Linked DNA regions of Schizosaccharomyces pombe. Changing the gene in region 1 together with any one later gene gives a genetic interaction. Each region holds a gene or a part of one and is shown in the gene's direction. Other genes may lie near its edges.

Region 1 (5,522 bases):
GCTTCGGGTCTATAGGGACAATATATAACTTCTCTTCACGATCCTTCATATTTGACAGTTTTTTGGCATCGGAAAAAGCTTTGTCCCATTCTTCATTATCAAGTTTATTTTTTCGAATTTGTAATTCTTCATTAAAAGTCTTTTTTAAATAAGCAATGGCCTTGTAAGATTTTAAAGAGTTTAGTAAATCAACCCAATAATCTGTATCGAGAGGGACATTGCTCTTCAATTTTTTTTGAATTTGTGCCTCAAGCTGTTCTAATTGTTCAAAAGATTTAGGGGCTAAAATCCTTTGTACTTCACCTGCTACGACCTTTAACCCTCTTGAAAATTGCCCAACTTTGTTATGTTCCATTCGAGAATTCACTAGCATTTTAACGTACTATAATGTATAATTTAGCACTTAAAGCATAAAAAATAATCCATACCTTCCAATAAGTTAGTCTACATTGGTTCGTTTCCAGCTGCTGAATATCACCAATATTTCTAGATATCTCCTCCAAATCTTCTGCTTTATAACTCTAAGTATGTTAATGATTAATCTGTTATAAAGTAAAAATAAAATAAGTCCCTTACTTGAATAACAGAGAGTGGATCAAACATGTCAACTGTTCCAAAATCAATTGAATTTTTTTCTCCATTCTCTTCCCATTCTGGGCCTGGCATCAAGTAAACGCTGACAAGAAGTTTATCTATAGGCTTAGAACGATCATTCTTAAGTCGAATAATAGCTCTTCGAAGCTGCTGTAAACGCAAAAATTCCCGTTCTTGCATTTCTTTCGTTTCCCTACTTCGCTCTTCCTCTTTCATAGCATCTCTCACTCTCGGCTAAAGGGAAGGTTAATTCAAAAACAACTAACATTTTCCTACTTACTAAATTATAATTTGCTCTTGCATTTTGATTTGAAGGTCGAAATGAACGAGGTGAAGAAGATCTCGAAGCATGCCTTTTTTCAGGTCTACTTCTGTTGAAATCGCGAGTTGAATCACGAAATGCCATAGTAATATATTTAAATTCAATGCCTTAAATACCAATATTGCTGTATGAAGGGTGCTTTCCAACAGAAGAGAATCCAATTGCTTTTTTTTTATTTGAAACAACTCAATGAGTAGGTTAAGTTTTTTTTTTTGAAATTTGAAACGTAGAGCTTTGTTATTTGATAAATGAACTTAAGGTAATCAATTACTTAGCAATAATAAGACTTATCCAACAATAGTAAAATTTATGGTTATGGCAAAGGTGAAATTTTATTGCATATTCGAATGCTTAGTAGGTAGTTCTAATTTGACGCTTGGTGGTTTGAAAGAAATTGAGCGGTAATGTTATAGCACGAAAAACCCCTAATTCATTATAGTTGCTATTGGTAAAAGTCTCAACGATATCGACTAAAAGGTGAAGTAAAACTCAGTATTTAGTACCTAACGAATATAGGAATACCCAATATAAAATATAGAATATAATTTTGTTTATAGCGCTCACTAGTCCTCTGCTTTCAAACTAATCAGATATTTAGGCCATCAGTTAATTGGCAATAAAGTAGCTAGTGCAGCAGTTGTGGTGTTTATAGAAGTGCTAGAAGAATATATACACTTATTTGATGTTCTATTGCAATTATAGGTGAAAATGATTTAAATTTGTCGGACGATTTATTAAAGTGTGATAAAAGTAAAGCAAAGCAAGAATCTTGCCAGGCATGTGTACATTATAAGTTACAAACCAAACGATAGCGATTCAGTTCAATCATCGAATTTAGTTGCCTTTTATAATAATAAAAATACTGTAAAAGCATCTATGATACTGAGATAGCATTATACACAACTAGTGAAAATGAAAAGGTAAAACAGTATTTCAACTCGATTTTAATCGTAACTACCTGTATTTGTGTTTATTGTCAAAATATGTAAATAATGTAATTGTTTACATCTTTTATTGCCATAACAACCATTCAAAACAAAGTGCGTTACTTGACTAAGAAATGTAACTTGGCAAATGCCAAACAGTCAACATTGAAGCGCACTCAAAAAACGCGTTTCTCGCTCTTTTCTACTGTTACATCTATTTTAATAGTGATCTTCGATATAAATTGCTTTTATTCAAGAAGGTTATTGGAATTGTTGTTTGCGAGTGCCCTTCTTTTCATCTGTTTTGGATGATTGCTTGCATGGAAATTTTGCTTTTCAATGTCAAGACAGTCGTCCATTACCGTTACAGGTTAGTCTTTAATGTGATGTTTTTTAAATTCATATCTTTTTGCTAACATAAAATAGTCCGTGTTCGCCCATTTAGTACAGCTGAATCTGCAAATTTAATTGCATCCTCAGATCGTTTATCATTTGGAACATCTTCTTCCTTAAGGAACCCTGGTTCAGGACGTCAAATTCGACGAGTAGTAAAGGTACTTGATGGACGTGTCTTGGTATTTGATCCCCCGGATGAAACAACGGCTACTTTGAGTGCCACAAACCGCAGACTTTCTACTTCTCAACAGAGTCTCGCTAGATTATCTAGAAAGTCAAACAATTCTGCGGGATTTGGCCGTGATCTTCGTTATGCTTTTGATAGGGTTTTTGATGAAACTGCTACTCAGCAACAGGTGTATGAGAGAACTGCCAGGCCGTTATTAGACAATATTTTGGATGGATTCAATGCTACTATCTTTGCATATGGAGCAACTGGATGTGGTAAAACTCACACCATTAGTGGAACAATGCAAGATCCTGGTTTAATATATTTGACACTAAAAGAACTTTTTGAGAGAATGGATCATTTAAGAGATGAAAAAATTTTTGACCTTCGCCTTTCCTATTTGGAAATTTATAATGAAACTATTCGTGATTTATTAGTATCACCGACCCCAAATCAAGCAAAGCCATTAAATTTACGGGAAGATGCAGACCGTCGCATTACTGTACCAGGTCTTACTTCTTTGTCTCCAGAATCTTTGGAAGAAATCATTGATATTATCATGAAGGGAAATGCTAATCGTACTATGTCTCCGACAGAAGCTAACGCTGCTTCATCTCGTTCGCATGCTGTATTGCAGGTTACGTTGATCCAAAAACCTCGTACAGCTGGCATCAATGAGGACCACACTTTGGCCACTTTATCAATTATTGACTTGGCTGGCTCAGAACGTGCAACAGCTACCAAATTAAGAGGTAGTCGTCTTTTTGAAGGTGCTAATATTAATAAATCTCTTTTAGCCCTAGGAAATTGTATCAATGCCCTTTGTGATCCCCATCGCCGTGCGCATGTCCCCTATCGTGATTCTAAACTTACTCGCTTACTTAAGTTTAGTTTAGGCGGAAATTGTCGGACAGTTATGATTGTTTGCGTATCTCCGTCTTCTGTTCATTACGAAGAAACTCACAATACTCTAAAATATGCTAATCGAGCAAAGAATATCAAAACCGAAGTGTTAAGGAACATGATCAGTGTAGATCGACATGTAAGCCAATATGTAAAAGCAATCGTTGAGTTACGTGAGCAAATTTCAGAGTTGGAGAATCGTCTCGCACAGATCGATTTGTCATCGCAATCAAATGGTTCTGATCAGGACGCTGTAACTCAATCTTTTGCTCATGAATCGAAGCTTGCAGAAGCCAGAAATTTATTGCGTATGACATTTGAGGAGACTTTACCACTGCAAAATGATACTATTAATAAGGTAGAAAAGGTGAAACATTTTGATGATTCAATTCGCGTACTTAAGTACTGGTTATCCTGCTATGAGCGAATACTTCCGAATTCCGCAGATGAACGAGTATTTTTAGTTCGTTCAAAGTTAGAATCATTGTTAACTCGTCGTGCAGAGATCATTGCTGATATAGATCCTGAACTTGTATACCAAAAGTTTCAGAGAAGTGTTTCTCACATTATCAACACATACAAACAAGAAGGTGCTACCATGTACGCTGATGTGTTACAGGATGAAGTTGACTTGCTAAAATCAATTATTGAGAATCAGGTTCTAGATGCTCAGAATAAAGTTGATGAGTTCACTCCTGTTTTAGAATCCCTTCTTAGAAGTTCTTTCAAAGCTAGTTCATTGCTAAAAGAGGGAGGTATGCAAGAGCTATTCTCGATACTGGAAAAGTGGTTGTTGGGCATTGGTCTTGGCGAGAAACCTAATATATCTGTCTTATCAGAAAGTTATAAGCTCAACTCAACATCCGATGATTCACGAACTATCAATCGTGATAGAGTTCATAGTTTTCCCACTCAACCCTTGCTTAATAATAACTTGCCTCGAATGTTTTTCGTGAAGTCTCCAAAAAAACCAGTTGTATTTTCAAAACGTTCTCCAAAAAAGAGGGTTCGTTTCGACGATTCAATGTCTACGTCTGACTCAGGTGCCTCCGCGTATAACTCACCCATTCAAACCTCTAAGTTAAAGAACATGAACTTCTTTAATACTATGCATATGCCTTCAACTCCTGCACATAAACGGCCTGAAAATAAGAATCAGATAGATGTTGAAATTAATCTTACTTCGCCTGTCTCCCCGATGTTGGAAGATAAACCAGAACCTGGACTTTTGATAAAAAGTCCTTTGGAGAAAAAGCAAGAAGTTAATAGTGAATCCACACAGCTTGATCAACTGCTGGCCGAGGACTCGTCAACTGACGATGTTTCTTTACCTCATCTGGACACTATTGATCTGGATGGTAGTCCAGTCCCAAAAGTTCCTGATTTGAATTTTTCCAGAGCCAATATGGACTCACCAACATTCATCCTCAACAATGAAGCTATTCACAACTTTGATTTTTCTAAACCGAAGACTCGACAAAGCCTCAGTTCATTGACTACTCTTCATCTTTCAAATCCAGCTAACATTATTAGGAAATCTTTAAGCATGGCTGAAAACGAAGAAGAGAAAGCCACCTAAAGGTCCGTATATTCAAATACGAATCCTCTAAATATCCTGTTGGGTATATTTAAAAAAAAAAAACGGATAAGCTTGATGATATGAATTTTTAATGAATTAATAACTTATTAGATTATATATTTATAAACCCTAAAATTCTCTTAGTAAACTTGCACAATTCGTTCGTAATGCACTATCAAATACAAGCGTACATATATGTCTGCCACCTCCAATGTACATAATTTTGTTTTTTTCTACCTAAGCAAAACACAATTGACTTGAAAAAAAAATAAGTACTATAAATGCAATTTATTAACTTTAATTAAATTTTTCCTAAATATCCTTATACACGACTAGTAAAGACGCTTTTCGTATGTAGCAAAACCTTGGATATCACCTTCACGGATGGCAGCGCTCGAACGTAACTCGAAGCGAACTTCATGCTTGTCGACAGCTTCATGAAGCTCATCAAGAGATTTGGTACCAATATCTTGAAGAGCGTGTTGCAAACCAGTGTAGAGATAAGGTAAAAAGCGAAGAAGCGAGCCCTTGTCGACGACCAAACCAGAGACACCTTGGGCAACACGGACAGCATCGTTTTCAGAGAAATAGCGGCCAGTAGAAGCATTCTTATTAACACCAGTACCTTCCATT
Region 2 (3,793 bases), on another chromosome or scaffold:
TTGCAGGATGGTTTGAATGGAACGCTAAATCTGTTTTCATACTTAACATGCTTGCTATTATCCCCCTTGCATCCTTGCTTAGCTTTGCTACTGAACAACTCTCTATAATTAGCGGACCAACATTGGGAGCATTGTTGAATGCTAGGTAAGATTCCTACTTTATCGTCTTCTTTTGTTATTTTATTAACACGTTGTGTACAGTTTTGGAAATGCCATCGAGCTCATTGTAGGCGTTCTTGCTTTGAAAAGAGGAGAGCTCCGCATCGTTCAATCGTCCCTTCTCGGATCAATATTATCCAACTTGCTTCTTGTTTTTGGAATGTGTCTCGTAACTACTGGTATTCGTCGTGAAATTACCACATTTAATATCACTGTTGCACAAACTATGATTGCAATGCTTGCTTTATCTACTGCTACCATATTGATTCCTGCGACTTTCCATTACAGCCTTCCCGACAACGCTAATAGCGAAAATGCGCTTCTCCATGTCTCTCGTGGAACTGCTGTTATTGTACTCATCGTCTATGTTTTACTTTTAGTTTTCCAATTAAAGACTCATAAGCATGTCTGTCATGATCCCAGTGAAGTGGAAGAAGAAACTGAACCTCGAATTTTAGGCCTTCGTTCATCCATTGCCATGCTTGCTATCGTCACGGTTTTTGTTTCTCTTTGCGCAGACTATTTAGTAGGTTCGATAGACCAATTGGTTGAGGAAGTTAACATTTCAAAAACTTTCGTTGGTTTGGTCATCCTTCCTGTTGTAGGAAATGCTGCCGAACATGTTACTGCAATCGTGGTATCTTACCGAGGACAAATGGATTTGGCTTTGGGTGTTGCTATTGGTTCCAGTATTCAGATTGCTTTGTTTTTAGCTCCCTTCTTGGTAATCGTCGGATGGATCATCTCCCAACCTTTAACACTTTACTTTGAATCATTGGAAACAGTTATTCTATTTGTGTCTGTTTTCTTGGTTAATTACTTGATACAAGATGGTGCTACTCATTGGCTTGAAGGTGTTCAATTACTTGCTTTGTATGCGATTGTTGTTCTCGCCTTTTTCTACTACCCTCAATAAATTTTGTCGTTCCCTCGCTAGTTCCTTATTATGTCTACTCTTATGTGCTTGATATACTCTCTTGATTTCTTTGTGTTTTACTTTACGAAACTATCATACCGAACTTATTGATTTCTTATTTTTTTATACTAGATTTTTTTTTTTTTTGGTTTCTGTTACAAGGATATTTTGCAGACTTATTTTTTAGTATGCAAGTGTTAAATTATGCAGAAATCTCCCATTTTCGCAATGACTACACAACTCTAAATTTCTATTGCAGGTCAAGCCAATATCTGCTTGTTTACAGTAGCTTTTTAAGTCGCTCATTCTTCAGTCTCAGTTTCATGTGTCTTACCAGCTATGAAAATAGAAAATTAATTTTTGAATAAACTCTTGTAAATCGTTGTTTATAAATCTTCATTTTGTTTATTTTTATTAGTTGTTTTGTAGGTTGTGTTTTACATGATTTAATAATACAAGCCATTAGTATGTGAAGTGGTTAATTTTAATTCTTCTTCTGTTTCTGTATATTCGAAGAAACAGAAAAAACTTCTTATCTCTTTCATTGGACTCTTCCAGGCGTAAGTATGATACCCTCCCCCAGCGTCAAGTTGGCACTTACCTTCTAATTTACGCACAATCTTTCATACATTCCTACTCTTGCTCTTTGAGTGTTGACACTTTTAATTTTATACAAAAGCTTTCAGTACACCTTCTATTAAACTATATACTGGCTATTTTCGTTCTTTCAATAGAATTGTACTTGTCTAAATAAACTTTCCAATACTACTACACTCACATCTCCTTCTTTGTTTTATTTATTTTCATTTAGTGGAAGGTATAGGGTTCTCTAGAAAAGGTTTACTAATTTTTTGGAAGACATTGACTACAAATGGAACCATTAGATGCTGGCAAGAACTGGGTGCATATGGATGTCATTGAGCAGTCCAAGGAAAACATAGAGCCTAGAAAAGCTGGTCATTCAGCTTCTGCACTTGCAAAATCTTCGTCGCGAAACCACACCGAAAAAGAAGTTGCTGGTCTGCAAAAAGAAAGGATGGGCCATGAACGAAAAATAGAGACGAGCGAGTCTCTTGATGATCCACTACAAGTTTGGATCGATTATATTAAATGGACCTTGGATAATTTCCCTCAAGGTGAAACAAAAACTAGTGGACTGGTAACATTGTTAGAAAGGTGTACTCGAGAATTCGTACGAAATCCGCTTTATAAAGATGATGTTCGGTATTTACGAATATGGATGCAATATGTAAACTATATAGACGAACCGGTTGAATTATTTTCTTTCTTGGCACATCATCATATTGGACAGGAGTCCTCGATTTTTTATGAGGAATACGCAAATTATTTCGAGTCTAGGGGATTGTTTCAAAAAGCTGACGAAGTTTATCAGAAAGGAAAAAGAATGAAGGCTAAGCCATTTTTGAGATTTCAGCAAAAGTATCAGCAATTTACTCACCGTTGGTTGGAATTTGCCCCACAATCATTCTCTTCAAATACAAATTCGGTTAATCCTTTACAAACGACATTTGAGTCAACAAATATCCAGGAAATATCCCAGTCTAGGACTAAAATTTCTAAACCTAAATTTAAATTTTCTGTTTATTCAGATGCGGATGGTTCTGGAAAGGATGGCCAACCTGGGACCTGGCAAACTCTTGGTACAGTTGATCAAAGGCGTAAAGAAAACAACATATCGGCTACTTCTTGGGTAGGCGAAAAGTTGCCTTTGAAATCTCCAAGAAAATTGGACCCTCTTGGGAAATTTCAAGTTCATTGTGATGAGGAAGTATCGAAAGAATAACCGATAAAGAAAAGATTTAAAGTATTGGCGTTATTAGATTAACAACTATTGTACATCATGACTCCCGGAATAAGAAATAGGTTGAAACATGCGAATTTTAAGGGTTATACGAACTTAACATAAAGCATCTTATTTATACTACGATTTGCAGCTTTTTTTTATATTTTACTCTCAAATTAATTATAGTCAGCCATAAGTTAATGAATATGATATAAATAATTCTTTTATAGACAATTTATCAAAATAATAAACAGATAGCTCGATAAGTAATTACACCTCTATACAAGTAAAGCTAAGACCCCTTAGCTATAAATATTTTAACTAATGAGAAGGCCCCTCAAAAACCACAGAAGCAGCTTTGCCCAAACGATTCATGATAGCTAGCCCTTCATTTTCCTCGGAGACACCTTCAACCAAAACAAAATCAACTCCCTGCAGATCCAAATCTCGCAATTGAGCGAATAAATTCTTTGTAATTTCATGTCCATCCCTTCCCATATGCAAAAATACAAACGGACAGTGAGAAGGGAATGACTCTTCGTTCCAACGTTTACTACATAAAACACCAATCTTCTGCTTTTCCTTAGTGATTCCCTGCTCAGATAAATACTTTTCAAAAACACCGTATGCATCAGATTCTGTGTAATTGACAAAAAGTAGCACTTTGGCAGTTGGAGAGTAGTGTCTGTATTTCATACCAGGAGTTTGAGGGATGAAATCTGTTTCCATATCACTTTTTTTAGCTACGAATACTTTTGTTCGCTCCCAGGCCCCTCCAGAGCTTTGAATTTCTTCTAAACTTATGCCTCCTGGCCGTAAAATTACGGGAGGATCACAAAGTCCATTTACAACTGTACTCTCCACACCAACACCGCATGCTCCCCCATCTAAAATTAAAGGAATTTTACCTTGTA

The links.
Region 2: of klp5 (region 1) and mad3, a mutation in one rescues a mutant of the other (synthetic rescue), as found in Schizosaccharomyces pombe (one study listed by BioGRID).

Annotation. Positions count from the first base shown.
Region 1 is NC_003423.3:1,708,581-1,714,102, reverse strand, and holds klp5 (kinesin-8 family plus-end directed microtubule motor Klp5), read left to right. Parts: upstream 1-1,985; 5' UTR 1,986-2,181; coding exon 2,182-2,212; exon of another isoform or gene 2,213-2,268; coding exon 2,269-4,889; 3' UTR 4,890-5,022; downstream 5,023-5,522. Other genes in the region: cay1 (cactin), read right to left, coding at 1-382, 429-521, 577-828, 875-1,000; IMP dehydrogenase Gua1, read right to left, coding at 5,222-5,522. UniProt on the Schizosaccharomyces pombe protein: Has a role in establishing metaphase during mitosis. Required for chromosome segregation where it generates tension during kinetochore capturing.
Region 2 is NC_003421.2:995,742-999,534, forward strand, and holds mad3 (mitotic spindle checkpoint protein Mad3), read left to right. Parts: upstream 1-1,674; 5' UTR 1,675-1,946; coding exon 1,947-2,879; 3' UTR 2,880-3,098; downstream 3,099-3,793. Other genes in the region: vcx1 (CaCA proton/calcium exchanger), read left to right, coding at 1-145, 202-1,075; SUA5/yciO/yrdC family protein Sua5, read right to left, coding at 3,201-3,793. UniProt on the Schizosaccharomyces pombe protein: Component of the spindle assembly checkpoint which is a feedback control that prevents cells with incompletely assembled spindles from leaving mitosis.